2 linked regions of the Canis lupus familiaris genome follow. The protein of the gene in region 1 purifies or fractionates together with the protein of each later gene. This does not show direct contact. Links are inferred from orthologs where the notes say so. Each region holds a gene or a part of one and is shown on either strand. Other genes may lie near its edges.

Region 1 (7,372 bases):
GAGAAATTTAATATCAAAAGTACAGTGGTGCAAAATTAGAATTTGGTTTTCTCTCTGTTCAAAGGACAAAGTTTTCTTAGTTATTGGTCTGCTCTTTTTTGTTTTTTGTTTTTCGGTCTGCACTTAATAAGAAATTGCAAACAAAGGTTTTTCTTTACCTTCAATGTAACCTGCCTAGAAAACAAAGATTCTGTGTTTTGTCTTTATCAGGTTTACTTAAGCAAACTTATGTAAAAAGCTAAGTTTTTTCAAATAGGTTTTTAAAATTTTATTTTTACATTTTTAAAAGATTTTATTTATTTATTCATGAGAGACACAGAGAGAGGCAGAGACACAGGCAGAGGGAGAAGCAGGCTCCTTGCAGGGAGCCCTACATGGGACTCAATCCCCAGTCCCCAGGATCACACCCTGGGCCAAAGGCAGGCACTTAACCGCTGAGCCACCCAGGGAATCCCACTCAAATAAGTTTTTAGTGTTATGTTAAATTTCACGGGATGCATTGTAAAATAAGAAGTGATGCTAAGCTTTCTTTAGGAGATATTTATATGGAAGTTATTAATGTAAACATTCCAGAAATTATATGAAATTCATGAGAATCTGATGTACTGACATAGTGTTATCAGCCATAATTCCGGTCATTGTCTTAAAATGCTGCATGTTGAAGAAATAACCAAATTTTCTTGTCAATTGCATTATAATGAATTCTCATCTGATCTTTAGCCATTGCCAGTTTTTAAGTCTTTTGTCATTCACAGGTAGTCATTGTTTTATTCTGATGCTTTTGCCAAAATGTTCCTGCAAAAGTGCTTTATCTTTGAGGAGATTCATGAAAAAGACCCTGACAAGCACCCTATGGATACAGGTCTCTGCTGACCTTAAGATCTTGACACTGAACTGGGTAAGAATTTCTAAAGCTTTCGTGGAAAAGTGATGAATTCATCAAAGAACAAAAGATCGAGATCAACAAGAATTAATTACAGGAGACCAAAGGAAGTAATGAAGATAATTAGAATTTTTTATAACTTCACTTAAAATATTGCTGGTTCGTTAATGTCTTGTTTGCAGATTTAAAAGGATCTGAAAGAGCATGATCCATCACTATTTTTGCTGCACTCAGAAATAATCAGGCCAAGTTTATTAAAAGTCAACTTAATTTGCAAAACAAATTAGTCTTGCCATGGTTGTCTTTGATGGAAATGATTATGGAGAGAAAATTATGTTTCAGTAACACACCCTTGTGGATTTTAGATTCTAGTGCCGTTGATCATCTGAGGTTTATTTTCTACCCGCAAACTGGAGTGGATCCTGAATTCTAACTTCCTCCAATATTTGGCTAAAACCCTGCAGCCTAGCATTTCCAATTTTCTCCCACTATTTTCACTTGGAATCACTCTGAGGCTAAGCCTGCCTTTTCCCCGAAACCATGCAGGCTGCAACTGGACAACTTGATAAAAACTTCAAAGAAATCACAGCAGCCCATGTGCGGCTCTTTGTGCCTGCAGCTGTGCAGCCACTCAGAGAGATCACCGGGGGGACACTGACACTGCGAACAGGACGATCTGATTGCCTGACCGCACTGTTTGTGCTCTGCCTAAAGATACTTAGAATCCGACTTTTAGAAATTTTCTCAACTGACCGCTCTGCAAACTCAGAAAATGGAATTTCTAATTTGCTTGAACTATTCATGTTTTTCTTTTGTTTCCATAGAAATGCCTCTCATTAAAATTACCCGGTTAGGGCGGCCTCGGTGGCTCAGCGGTTTAGCGTCTGCCCTTGGCCCAGGGCATGATCCTGGAGACCTGGGATCGAGTCCCACGTTGGGCTCCCTGCATGGAGCCTGCTTCTCCCTCTGCCTGTGTCTCTGCCTCTCCCTCTCTTTGTGTCTCATGAATAAATGAATAAAATCTTTAAAAAAAATAAAATTACCCGATTGCTCACATTGTATGGAAGCCTGATTCAGGTGGAAGCCCGCCTCCTGAAACACAACCTCAAGTTCATCCTTGGCCATCACGAGGTTACGTGTTTGCTGATACATCATGTTGTGCCTGTGTAAATAACCTTAAAAGTTCTTTTGTAGATCGACTTAGGTGAAACCTGAATCTGATTATAAGCCATTGGGATTTATTTGGTTGGTGAAACCTTGGCTCCCGGGTAGCTCTGCTCTGGGGAAGTTTTCAATCCTTGCCTGTTGTTTTCCCTATAATCATATTGACCTTTGTAGTGCATTACATATGACTGAACTAATGGAAACAGCAAGTGTGTGATCCTGCCGCCTGACTGCACCCAGCACGTCGAGGAGGAGGAGGATGCTACGAAGGCTGGTCATGCCCTGAGCCTGCTGAGAGAAGGGCCCAGACGTGGGGAGGGGCTGTTAAAATGAGAAACAAAGCGAGTCCCACCTTGCGGGGTCCCTGAGCAGAAAGACCCGGTTTGGTCACGCAGGCGAGGCTTGATTCGGCTTCGGCTGCCAGGCTTAGAGGACCTGGTCACTCCTTGCTCACGTGTCTGGAAATGAGAAGCAAACCTTGAACGCTTCCCAAAGTTGATAAAGGACTTGGTAACCACTGAAAATTGTAATTATTGTAAGTAATCAGTGCGAAGAATGAACAGTCGCAGCTTTGTCACTAACAGGGGCACCCTTGAGCCTCATTTCGGGCTGAGTGTCGGGGTCTGCCAACTTCTGGTGTGTGCACAGTAATTTTTCTTTTTATTCCCTGTTTTTCTTTTCTTGTTCCTTTCCTTTCCTTCTCTCTGTCTCTGTGTCTGCGTCTCTCTCTCTCTCTCTCTCTCTCTCTCTCTCTCGCTGCTGACTCACGGGTTTGAGTCTGGCTATTTGGAACCTCTGACAGCAGTCCCCACACGCCGTGCGGAATGACACGTCCGTCTTAGGCCTTCCCTGAACCGCCCGCCTGCACTCCTGGTTTTTCACACTTGAGCGTGCCCTGCAAGAGGAGGCCAAGCTAAGCCACCCGCAAGCAGCAGCGCCCCGCAGGGAGGACGGCGCCTCCCCCCGCCGTCGCCGCCGCCGCCCGGATCGCCCCGGTCGCGGCGGCAGGTCCCCCCGGGAGGCGAGCGGCGGCCGCGCGGGGCGGGGCCGAGCGGCGGGGCCCGGCACGTGACGGCGCGGCCGGGCTCCGCGGGGCGGGGGCGGGGGCGGGGGCGGGGCGGGGCGGGGGCGGGGCCGCCCGGGGCGCCGGGGCCAGGCCGACGTCTGCCCGGGGCCGGAGAGCGCGCAGCTCGGGCTCCGCCTCCGCGAGACCCTGAGCCCCGGGAGCCGGGGGTTTCGGTCGCGCTTGAAACTTTAGAGCTCGGGAACCGGAAAGGCGAGGGTAAGTCGCTCACCACCTAGAAAAATCAGCCTGGGACGAGTGACCTAGAAAAAGCACACGGCCACATTGTTGGCTTTTGAAGTCCGGTGCAGAAAATGATGGTAGATCGCTGCGAGGGGCAGAGGGCCCGTATCCGTGCCCCGAATTAGAGACCTCCCGAGCGGACATGTGCTTAATCCGGAGGGAATGGTGGGAAAAGGGCCCTGGTTAAATATAGAAGGACGCGAAAGCCGCCGTAATAAATAGCAAGTAGGTAACTCCTGGCTGCTTGCGAAACAACCTATTTCACATCTCTTTCGGCGGCCAGGAGGCCAGGCCATGTAAAAAATCGTGATTGAAACTCTCTCGAAAGTGAACCAGTGTATGAAACTGGAATACAAGCGCGACCAGTTTCTGCTCTTGTCCTTTCACATTTCAAAGCCGTGTCTATGGCTTGGCAGAAGAAAGTTGCATTGGGTTCACTGCTTACGTTTGAAATATGCCATTTCAAATGGACATGACCACTGTTGGAATTTTCTAAGGCTTTCTAGGGAAGGCTTTGAGTTGTGAATGGGAAATGTTGACATCGTGCGTGTTTTCTGTAATAGTAAGATGACTCACTTCTGCAGAATGTGATAAAAATTAAAAAGCGTGAAACAATGTTACAGAGTTATTATGAATTAACTCTTTCATGTCTCTGAGACATCAAATTCCTGGCCACAGCGTTAAAAAAAAAAACCACTGACACGAGTACAACCATGCTCATGCATTAGTGCTTTATTTTAAATAAATACAAGCAGTAGGACTATGTGGCATCCCTTTTTTTTACCTTTGGCAAATACAAGTTTAATAGTAGAAAGTAGCTGTTGAGAGTAAATAAAAGCATTATTCATCAGTGCGAATAGCCTAATGGTCCATAAGGAATATGCTTCAAATTACAGTATTTGGTATCTTTGCTACATGATTTGAAACCCTGAACCTCTATGCAGAGTATTTCCAGACACTTTATATTTTACCTGTCACTTGGATCTGCACAAAATATGTTTCTCCGTTGCATCTCATAAAGACTTTGAAAACTAAAACACCAAATTGTTCCCTTTCATTACTAATCCCTAACTCTTTTGAAATCCCATTACGTGCTCGGAGCCTGTAATCACTCGGATTTCGCCCTCTGTGCCGTTTGTTTCCCCGTAGTTGCTGAAAGCCTAGGCACGCCGCGCTCCTCAAGCGAGCTGCCCGGAAGGGGCGCGGGAGCGGGGCTCCCCGGCCGCTCGCTCCTCACCTCCCCGGACGTCCAGGGTCTTCCTCGCCCCCCACCCCCTCCCCGCCTCGCCCCGAGGGCGTCACGTGGCGGCGTGGGGCCCGCCCCCGGTGACGTCACCGCGCTCGCAGCCGTCGCGCCGAAGAAAGGATGCTCTAGGATGCCGTGCAGGTGGGCGGCGGGGATGCGCCATGCGGCACTGCAGGTAAGGGACGCGCGGCGCCCACGCTGCAGGCGCACCCCGGCCTGCAGGCCCGCAGCCCGTCGGCGCCCCAGAAAGCGAAAGTGGGGTCTTCGGCGGCTGCGGCTGCTGCAGGCACCAGGCGGGGGTGCGGGGCGGGGGTGTTGCAGGCCCACGCGTGACTTCGGGCTTGGCGTGCCCATCCGGGAAAGTGGGCAGGGGCCAGACGGGAAGACCGGGGCCTCTTGCCCCGGCGAGAAAAAAAAACCGGAATGATCCCCACACATGCATTATAAAGCGAGAAACGGGCTGGTCCAAGATAACTGTCAACTGCTTTCCAGCTGTCATTGTGCTTCCTAAATAATGCCACCTTTACCGATTCCCCCTTCAGGACGTTTGTCCTCAGTCTTTAGCCCGATTTCTTCTAAAGCAAGAGCTGCTTTGCTCTGAATGGAACGGGAACTTACTGGTTAGCAATTTAAAGAGCTAGATGTGCAGTGTAAGTCGTTTGGCGTTGTTTTGCAAGGTTCCAACCTTTAGAGGGGATGTGTCAGAAATGCATTTTCTCCCCCTCCAGGTGTCTTAAGTAGATGAGAAAATGACAGCATCCAATCCAATCAAATCCATAAAATAAAATGCAAGCCCCGAAGATTAACTGCGAGTGTAAGAGACAGCGGATCAGCTACATCTCTTAAGGACAAAATGGTTTTTAGAAGGGGGTGGGGTGGAGGCGAACACCCAAACGGAAGAATTCCCAGTGTTCTTTTTAATTCCCGTGCTGAATAGTTAGCTTGCTGAAGAAGGGGCTTGATGACTCAGCGGCAGATGGAGGGGGTCAGGTGACTTTTCAGTTCTGGCCGGACAGGGGGTGGGATTGTAATGGACTCTGTTAAGCATTCTAATCTGTTCACATTCCTTTCTCTGGTTCAAATAGGACCTGAGGCCAGGACACGGGTGGGCACCCTTGGGAGGAGAATGTGACGTTCTTTTCTGTAAAACGTGACCCCCCTGGAAGTTAGGGCATCAGTAAACTGTGCTGGAACACACACCATGAATAATTTGATTCCCCAGTAACTGTTGGAGGACAGTATTAAAAAGCAATGCTATTTTAGTTGATAATATAAGGAAGGGTTTTTATTCTTTACCCCCTGCAGTGGGCTTACTGTCAGGCAGCCCAGATAGCTTTGGTTCTAAGGAGGGGATTTATATACTTCTCTCTCTGCTTTCTTTTCTTTTTTAAAAATTTATTTAATTTATTTTATTTTAAATTTATTTTTATTTTTTCCTTTTATTATTATTTTTTTATTGGAGTTCATCTGCTTTATTTTCTAACTGATTTCCAATTAATTTCGGAGTAAGGCAAGGCTTATAAAAACGATGGAGAATTCTCTTCCAACTTAGAACTTTGTAAGATTGCCATCCAGAAGACATCAAGGAGAAGAGAGGATGTGAACCCTGTTTAGAGAAAAATGGGGCTAGAGATGGGGTGGGGGTGAAGTCAGCAAAGAAAAATGGGATGGGGATGGGGTGAAGTCAGAGACTTACCATTTGCTAAAATCAAAATAATGTTTCTGAGAAATTAATGCTATGTCAGAAAACGAGCTGGTAAGATATTGGGACGTAGTCTTGCATATACTTGGATCTAGAGAGCCAAATGTCAAAATCGTACCTCTGTCCATATCCTCGCCTATATATGTCCATACATTCGTGTCTGTATCTCTACAGCTGTGTCTTTGCTAGCATAGTCTTGTTTTTATGAATTCTGCTTATATAAGAAAATACCAGGCTATTTTCCAAGGTGGGTGTACCATTTTGCATTTCTGCCAGCAATGTATGAGAATTTCAGTTGCTGAGGATCCTTGCCAGCACCTTGGTTTTGTTTGTTTCTTTAATGTTAGCCCCGCTAGTAGGTACATAGGGGTTATCCCTTTGTGTTTTTTTTTTTTTTAGGTGACTGAGTCTTATTGTATATAAATGATTCCCTGCCAGCACTTCAGTATTGTCAGTTTTGTTAAAAAAAAAAATTAAACATTCTGGTAGGTAGTTATGGCATCTCATTGTGGTTTCTTTCTTCTTTATAAATTTTTAAATAATTTACTTATTTATGGTGCTTCGAGTCTGTTTCTCCCTGCTAGAAATAGAATAGGAAGTCCACGAAGCCTCGGGTTTGTGTGCTTATTGTGCGTTCCTCTATCTCCAGCTCTGGGCGTGGTACCGGGAATATTTAGTTACTGTTTAATAAATCAGTCGATGTTTAGTAATTGAGCAGGTCCTGAAGGCCTGGGGGAGCTACCCTGCTCACACCAGAGGGGGTTAAACCATCGCGGGGGCCTCTGCAGTTCCCGCTGGTGGAGGAGTCAGGGATGAACCGGATTTGCCAGCACGGTTTCAGGCTGAACTCATTCTCAAGGAGCTCGCTAGCAATTTTCATTACCTAGCTGGTAACTGATCTTCATTTTTCATTAATTATTTTCAAGTCCCTGGATCCAACCATGCTTGAAGCTTCAATTAAAAATAAAAAAAAATTATTTCTCCCACTGCCTACCCCCTGCCTTGGCAACCACCAATCTGCTCTCTACGAGCTTGATTCCCCGCGGTATTTGACTCTCTCTGTCTGACTGA
Region 2 (6,512 bases), on another chromosome or scaffold:
GGGGTTACACTTGGAAAACTGAGGGAGGCCATGGAGCCCCCTTTGTGAGGGGCTTGGCACCCGGGCTGTTCGCAGCTGTGTGACCCGGTCGGAGACAGCACCGCCTGTCCTGCCCCCGCTCCCAGGACTGGGGAAAGGGTGGAGGGCCCGCCGCGGGGGTGGGCATTCCTGTCCTCGGTCCCCTTGTCCTCAGAGGGGCTTCGGCCCCGCCCAGGGCTGTCTCTGAACCAGAGCCTGTGCATCTGGGCCACCTTGACGGTGGTGTCCGCTCTGGCCTGTGCGCACCAGCTTTTGGGGCCTCCCAGGCCAGACAAGAGGAGGGCCTGGCTCGAAGTCCCCGATTCCCGGGGCCTCTGCAGGCGCGGGGTGCTCAGTCTGGCCCCGTGGAGAGATACCAGCTTGCTTCTTTGAGCAGCCAGCCGCCGCAGGAGCACCCAGCAGAGTGCTGGGACCGGAGAGACGCCGGCACCCCGCGCTCAGCCACCACATGGCTCGTCTCACGTGGCCTTGGTTTCCTTGTCTGCAGTGGAAGTGACGTTACCCCGTAAGCCCAAGCCTGCGGATGATCCACGTAAAGTTCTCAGCAGAGCCCCCGACACACGGTGACATCGTCACGCTGGCCTGGTCCCACGGGGCACTCCACCCGGGACCCCCACCGGGACCCAGGTGCCTCCCCCCTCCTGGCTGCCATCCTGCGTCCCTGCCGTCCCTGGAGACCCCGCCTCAGAGGGAAGGGGCAGGAACGGTGTGATTTCTCCCGCGCCTCCAGCTGCCGTCCCGCGGCAGAGCAGGCTAGGATGAGGCCCCACTCCGGGCTGCCTCTAGAACACACGTGGAAGCTTTAATACCTTTTAATCGGACTATTAGCAGTGGAAACACGGAGCCTCTCAGCAGCAGCTTTCCCCCACTTAGGAGCTGCTTGTTAAGACTTTACATGAAGGGGAAACAAATGATATGTGGTCCTGCGGTGAACTTCGGCGTGTTCCTTAATGCTCTGCTCTTGGCTTCCTCTGCCTTCCCCTCCTCAAAGTGCTCCCTGGAGCTGCCGAGCCGTCGGGAGACGCAGGGCTGAGGCTGGCGCGTCCCTCCAGGCCTGCCCCCGGGGCTCAGCCTGGCACTGCGGCTGGGCCGGCCGGGACCAGATGAGAGGCGGGGGGAGGACAAGGCCCTTCGGCCATGAAGCCAGGACAGCGCCAGGCCCGGGTGGGTCTTCAGTGCCCGCCGCGCCTACACGGCCGCCCGCCCCGAGGCCTGTCCTTGGCCCGCTGTAGCGCCCAGCTGGCGCAGCCGAGCCAGGAAGGAGCGGAATCGAAAGGTAGCGACATGGGGCCATGGTCGCTTCTCCGAGGCAGCTCCCTGCGGCAGCAGGCTGCCAGCTGTCTCCCCCTTTCTCCTGCCTGGTGGGCCCCACAGCTGGCCCCTGACGCGACTAATTGCTGCTGCGAGTCGAACGCTTGCCGCCGGCCCGGCGCTGCGGAAGGCTCTGCTCGGGTGTCTCGCTGAGAGGCCGCTCTTGCGGTCCCCGTCCTACGGCAGGGACGTAGGCTCAGACGAGCTAGCTTTGCCCAGGGTCACTTCCAGGAGGCGTTGGAGCCAAGGTGCGGAGCAGGTGCGTTTGACGCCCCGGTGCTCTGAACCGCGGAGCTGAACCACCAGGGAAGGAGGAGCCGGGGACGTTTCTCGAGCTCCTCGTCCGTGAAGGCCAGCGTGCGAGGAGCTTCACACGGGGCGCTTTGCTTCACCTCGCCACTCCCATCTCCTGAATCCCGAACCATGTTTTTCAAAGCGTGGGTCACCAGCCGTCAAGTCGTGAAATCAGTGTCGTGAGTCATGACTAGCGTTTTAAATACTTCCGCAGAGCAGGGGACATCAGCGGCCTCAGGCCAAGTGTCTTACACGACGGTTCTTTTATGTGTGTGCACGTGTCTGTGCACACGCACTGGGTCATCGGGTACTTGCAATTCCTGCCGACAGGACAGTCAAAACCATCTAAGACTGGCTTTATTCAGCTCACGTTTGCAGAAATAGCCACTTGTCCAGGGACCTAAAGCCGTTGGGTCCTAAGGCGGTGCCTCTGTCCCAGCTCCCAGCTGGGCTCCGAGCCGGATCCCCTGGGGGCCGTGGGTGGAGGATCAGAGGCCCCTCGGAGCCCAGGCCCGGAACCCAGGAGTCCTGACCTTGGGCTCGGTGCACTCCCTGCCTAACACTGCCCGCACCCGCCTCCCCGGTGTCGCCGCCGCCATCCCCAGCTGGGCGGACCGGGAAGCCGTCCTGGGGGGGTCCTGGCCCGGGGCTCCCCGGGAGGCAGTGGCCCTCATGAGACAGTGACTCAGAGCTCGCTGCAGCCCTGCCCTACCCCCCAGCCTCACCCCCAGCCGGCCACCTCTCTGTACCTGCCAGCTCGCTCTCCCCTACTCTCGCCTAACCGCCCCTCCCGGCTCCCCAGCCTGGCAGCTGCAGGGCGACAGAAGCTGTGCCAGCGCGGGGCATTAGAAGCAAAGTTGCATTTACTGGGCGGCTCTGGGCTTAGAGAGGTGCGCTAATCCCTTAAGAGATGTGTGGCAGGAGATGAGAGGCAGGGAGAGCGAGGGAGGAAATCCCCACGGGGGTGTGGGCCTGGCCCTCGGCTCTAATTCCCCCCAAAGATCAGGTTGGGGTCCCGCAGGAAATGCACGGGCTCCGGAGCTTCAGAGGCAGAGAGGTGGTAATTAGGGGAGCTGCTGCCTCCGACAACAGAAGCGGTTCCGCGGGCGGAGGGGAAGGGGCTCCGTGGGGCACACGGAGAATTGCTGAGCTACCCTCGCCTGTCCGCGGGCGGTGGGCCAGGCAGGCTCCGGGCCGGGAGTGCTGGGAGTGGACCCCGAGGTTCCATCCCTGCCCGACTCCCTTGGGGCAGAAGGGAGGGACATCCGTTCCTTCCCGGGGACAGTGGGCCCATGTTCCCCGCAGGCACACACTCACTCTGGGCCTTCCTGCTGTCCCTGGGCGGTGGCAGGCAGGGTGAAGGCGTTCCGGGGTGCCCTGGGGCGCACAGATGCCTTCCCTGAAGCCATGGACGGCGCCAGGGCCTCTGCGCTGACCCAGTGAGGTCCTGAGGCTGCAACTCAGTATTCATCCTGAGGGTCGGAAATAGGCCAGCGGGCTGCGGCCTCGTGGTCACTAGGGCCCCAGATGGCACTCCTCCCCCAGGCCCCACCCTACGCAGTCTCCGGATGCTGAGCAGCGCCCCCAGCCTCCCACATGGGGGAACTCAGCCTTGGGGTTTGCCCCAGGGCATCCTTTGTGTGTGGGGTTTCAGGCCCCCGCCCTGGCCCGCGGTGCTGACTCTTCTCCCCCTTTTCTCCCCCCTACAGGATGCTCGCTCTATGGCAGCCGCTGCCTCCCTTGGGGGCCCTCGAGCAAACACCGTCCTGGAGCGGGTGGAGGGCGCTCAGCAGCGGTGGAAGCTGCAGGTGCAGGAGCAGCGGAAGACCGTCTTCGATCGGCACAAGATGCTCAGCTAGACGGGCCGGGGAGCTTGGGCTCAAGGACCAGGGCCCACGGCTTCCAGCTCCTGGGGCTGCCCCCCCCCCCAGTACCGCCCCCCACCAGGACTTCTCTTGAGAAGCCCGAGGCCTTCTCCCTTTCCCTCTCCTTAGCTAGTTGAATCCGGGAAGAGTGGTAGGGTCCCTGCTCAAGGCTTTGGGCTCGAGGGGAGGGGGTGGCGACCCTGCGGGTGGCCTCGGGATTGAGGCAGTCTGCACCTCCTTCCTTCACCCTTCCCGCCTTCCGGCTCCAGATCTCGGGAGCGCTCTTCCCCTTGCCAGGTGCAGCTGGGTCACCGGGAGCTCCGTGCGCAGGAGGAAGGCAGTCAGCATGTGCTCCTCTTCTGCCGTAGCTCTTACGGCCGCCTTCCCCCCAGCGCAGCCTGGTTCCGGCCCCCAGGGTAGCTCTGATGGGACAGCTGATGCCACCGAGCTGCTCCCTGTGGTCGGGGCCCACCCGGGCGCTTGGCTCCCCGCCCCCTCCCCCACACTCTCCCACCAGCATGGGGCAGTGCCGCGCCCCTCGCTTCCTGCAGCACCTGGCCCCTCACTCCGGCCCCCAGGGCCAGGCCGTCCCCCGCCTCCCCGTGTCTGCCGCTGCTGAGCCGACACTTGGTGGGACCACGCGACTGAGAGGCTGAGCGGTGGCTCTGAGTTCCATGGCTCCTGTCCTGGGATTGCCACTCGCCTGATTTCATTGCACCGGTGCATGGAGAGAAACGTTTGTCCTCCTGTTGTCTGTAAACCAAGGAAGCCATCATTAAACTGTCTTATTTCTCCCACTTTCTAGACTTCAAGAGATCTAGAGAGCTTAGTGTTTCACTGCATCCCAGGGAGGGGACCGAGAACAACCCTAATAGGTCCGGCTGAGCAGCAGGGCCCAGACTGACCGGGTGGCTGTGGTAGGGCCCACAGGGGTGGGGGCCGGGGAGAGGGACGGGCTCCTCACAAGCTCTGTCCACTGGCCCCCGGGAATGACCCTGAGATCTTGTGCTTCATCTTTGTGGGAGACTCTGAACGGTGCCCAGTGTCAGCATCTTCACAGATAAAGTAAAAAGTGCTCACTGCAAAACCCGAAAGTTTTCCCTAACGAAAACCCGCGGCTACTCAGAGGGCTGGGGCAGCAGGGAGACGCAGGTGTGTGCGCCGCCACGGGCCATGCCCTCCACCCTGTCCCAGCACATGCCCAGAGGGACCAGCTGGAGCGAATTGAAGTTGCTGCCCCCTGGGGTTGTGCGAGCAAACTGGTGTTAAGCAGCCTGTGTGGAGCCCCTGCTGGGTTCTCAGTGAGAGGTGGGGGCCGGGAGGACAACGGGAGGAGGTGGGCATTTCCGTTGCCCCAGTTCAAAGCCCAGTTCTAAAGGGGACGGGGGTGGGGGGGTTGACGTGCAGATGGGGTTCCGGAGAAGTACTGCGGAGACTTGGGAGTCGGCCTCGGAAGCAAGCAAGGGACACAGCTGGGAAGGGCCCAGAACGATTCTGGGATCCTGCGCAGAAGGGCCGGGCCAGTGTGAACGTTTATGGGGGGTTGGCAGGTGCTACGTGTGCCACGGATGGAGTCCGGGTGGAGGAGCCGGCCTGGCAGCTGTGCGTCTGCCCCCTTCGCTTGCCTGGTGGTGCCCGCTCGGCAATTCGGTTGTAATTCTTTCACAGCGGGGATGCTCTTGCTTCAGGAGGCGCACAGGGCCGTCTGGTGGCTCAGTCGGCTAAGTGGCTGCCTTCGGCTCAGGTCGTGACATCGTGGTCTTGGGATCGAGCCTCCGAGGGCCCCACACCGGGGTGCCTGCTCAACGGGGAGTCTGCTGCTCCCACCCCCACCCCCCCACCCCCCCCATGCACACCCATGCTCTGTCTCTCTCTCAAATACAATCTTTAAAATAATGATTTTTTTTTAAAGGCAGGCAAAATTGGGTCTTTTCAAAGGTGGGCAGACGGGTGTGTCATTGAGAACAAACCAGTCCACAAATTGGTGCCTGACGCTGCTGGGTCACCACTAAACCACGCCAACTGGAGGAAACCTTGCGCACTCGCGCCTGAGTCTTGGTTAAGCCCCACAGATGACCCACCCAGTCCTTGGTGGTTTTAAAGATCTGATACGAAGCAAGCAGCTGTCCTCAGAAGTAAGCCAAGTATATGAAGATAAATTAATGTAAAAACTCAGGGTGACCGTTCACTCTACCTAAGAATTCAAGTAGTAGCCAAACAGCTACACAAAATCGATTTTTAGACGACTATTCCGGGGTGTACGTCACCTGCGGATGACGAGAGAACAGGGAGCCCAGCAGAGGGAGACATGGTGCAGGGATGAAGGCCTGCACGGCCCGGGATGGAGAAGATGAGAAGCTACTCCATCCCGTCCCCCTGGGGAGACCTGAACGTCCGTGGGCTCAGGAGCCCTGTGTCCCCCGTCTAACCCACCAGACGTGCTGTTCTGTGATGGGTCGGACCCGCCTGCAAGACACCGTTGGGCTGGGCCCTGGGACTCGAGCCTCAGAGCTGGTCACCGCCGCTTGAGGCTAGCACCCGTGCCCGTGTGGCTCAAAGGGAAGTGGCGCAGGGAAAGGACCGGGAGAGGCCATGGAGTCTCCACGCCTCCCTCGGACCCACTCCCTCTCGCACGTGCTCTTGTTCCCTCGCGTCCTCCCTACGGCTCACCAGCAAGCCCCCAGCCGTCCTGGGCAGCTCTGCTCTCCTAGGAGGGACTAGAGGTTTGCAGTTTCCACCCCATCTCCTCCCTCCCTGTAGGGGTGGGGGTGCCATCCTTGTGCCTCGCTCTTTCTGGAGGTCACTAGGCAACCTTCCTCTATTTGCCCTCCCCACCCCCACCCCCCAAACCCTACCAAATCTTACCTTCCTACTTCAAGAAAATCAAGGCGGGTAGATGTGATCTCCAAGCTTGCTTATCTGCCTCTGTGCGTTTTTCTTCCTACTTCTCTTGGCCTCCTTGCTGTGCTCTGGGGTTAGTGCATCCCCCCTGTTCTAAGCCAA

The links.
Region 2: the proteins of CLCN4 (region 1) and TMEM9 purify together in Homo sapiens (co-immunoprecipitation; 3 studies listed by BioGRID and IntAct, with this or other methods). This does not show direct contact. The link is inferred for Canis lupus familiaris from reciprocal best matches to the Homo sapiens genes CLCN4 and TMEM9.

The regions. Positions count from the first base shown.
Region 1 is NC_049260.1:6,812,694-6,820,065, forward strand, and holds the start of CLCN4 (H(+)/Cl(-) exchange transporter 4), read left to right. Parts: upstream 1-3,180; 5' UTR 3,181-3,329; intron 3,330-4,502; 5' UTR 4,503-4,760; coding exon 4,761-4,774; intron 4,775-7,372. UniProt on the Homo sapiens protein: Strongly outwardly rectifying, electrogenic H(+)/Cl(-)exchanger which mediates the exchange of chloride ions against protons.
Region 2 is NC_049228.1:1,846,018-1,852,529, forward strand, and holds the end of TMEM9 (proton-transporting V-type ATPase complex assembly regulator TMEM9), read left to right. Parts: intron 1-3,353; coding exon 3,354-3,503; 3' UTR 3,504-4,321; downstream 4,322-6,512. UniProt on the Homo sapiens protein: Transmembrane protein that binds to and facilitates the assembly of lysosomal proton-transporting V-type ATPase (v-ATPase), resulting in enhanced lysosomal acidification and trafficking.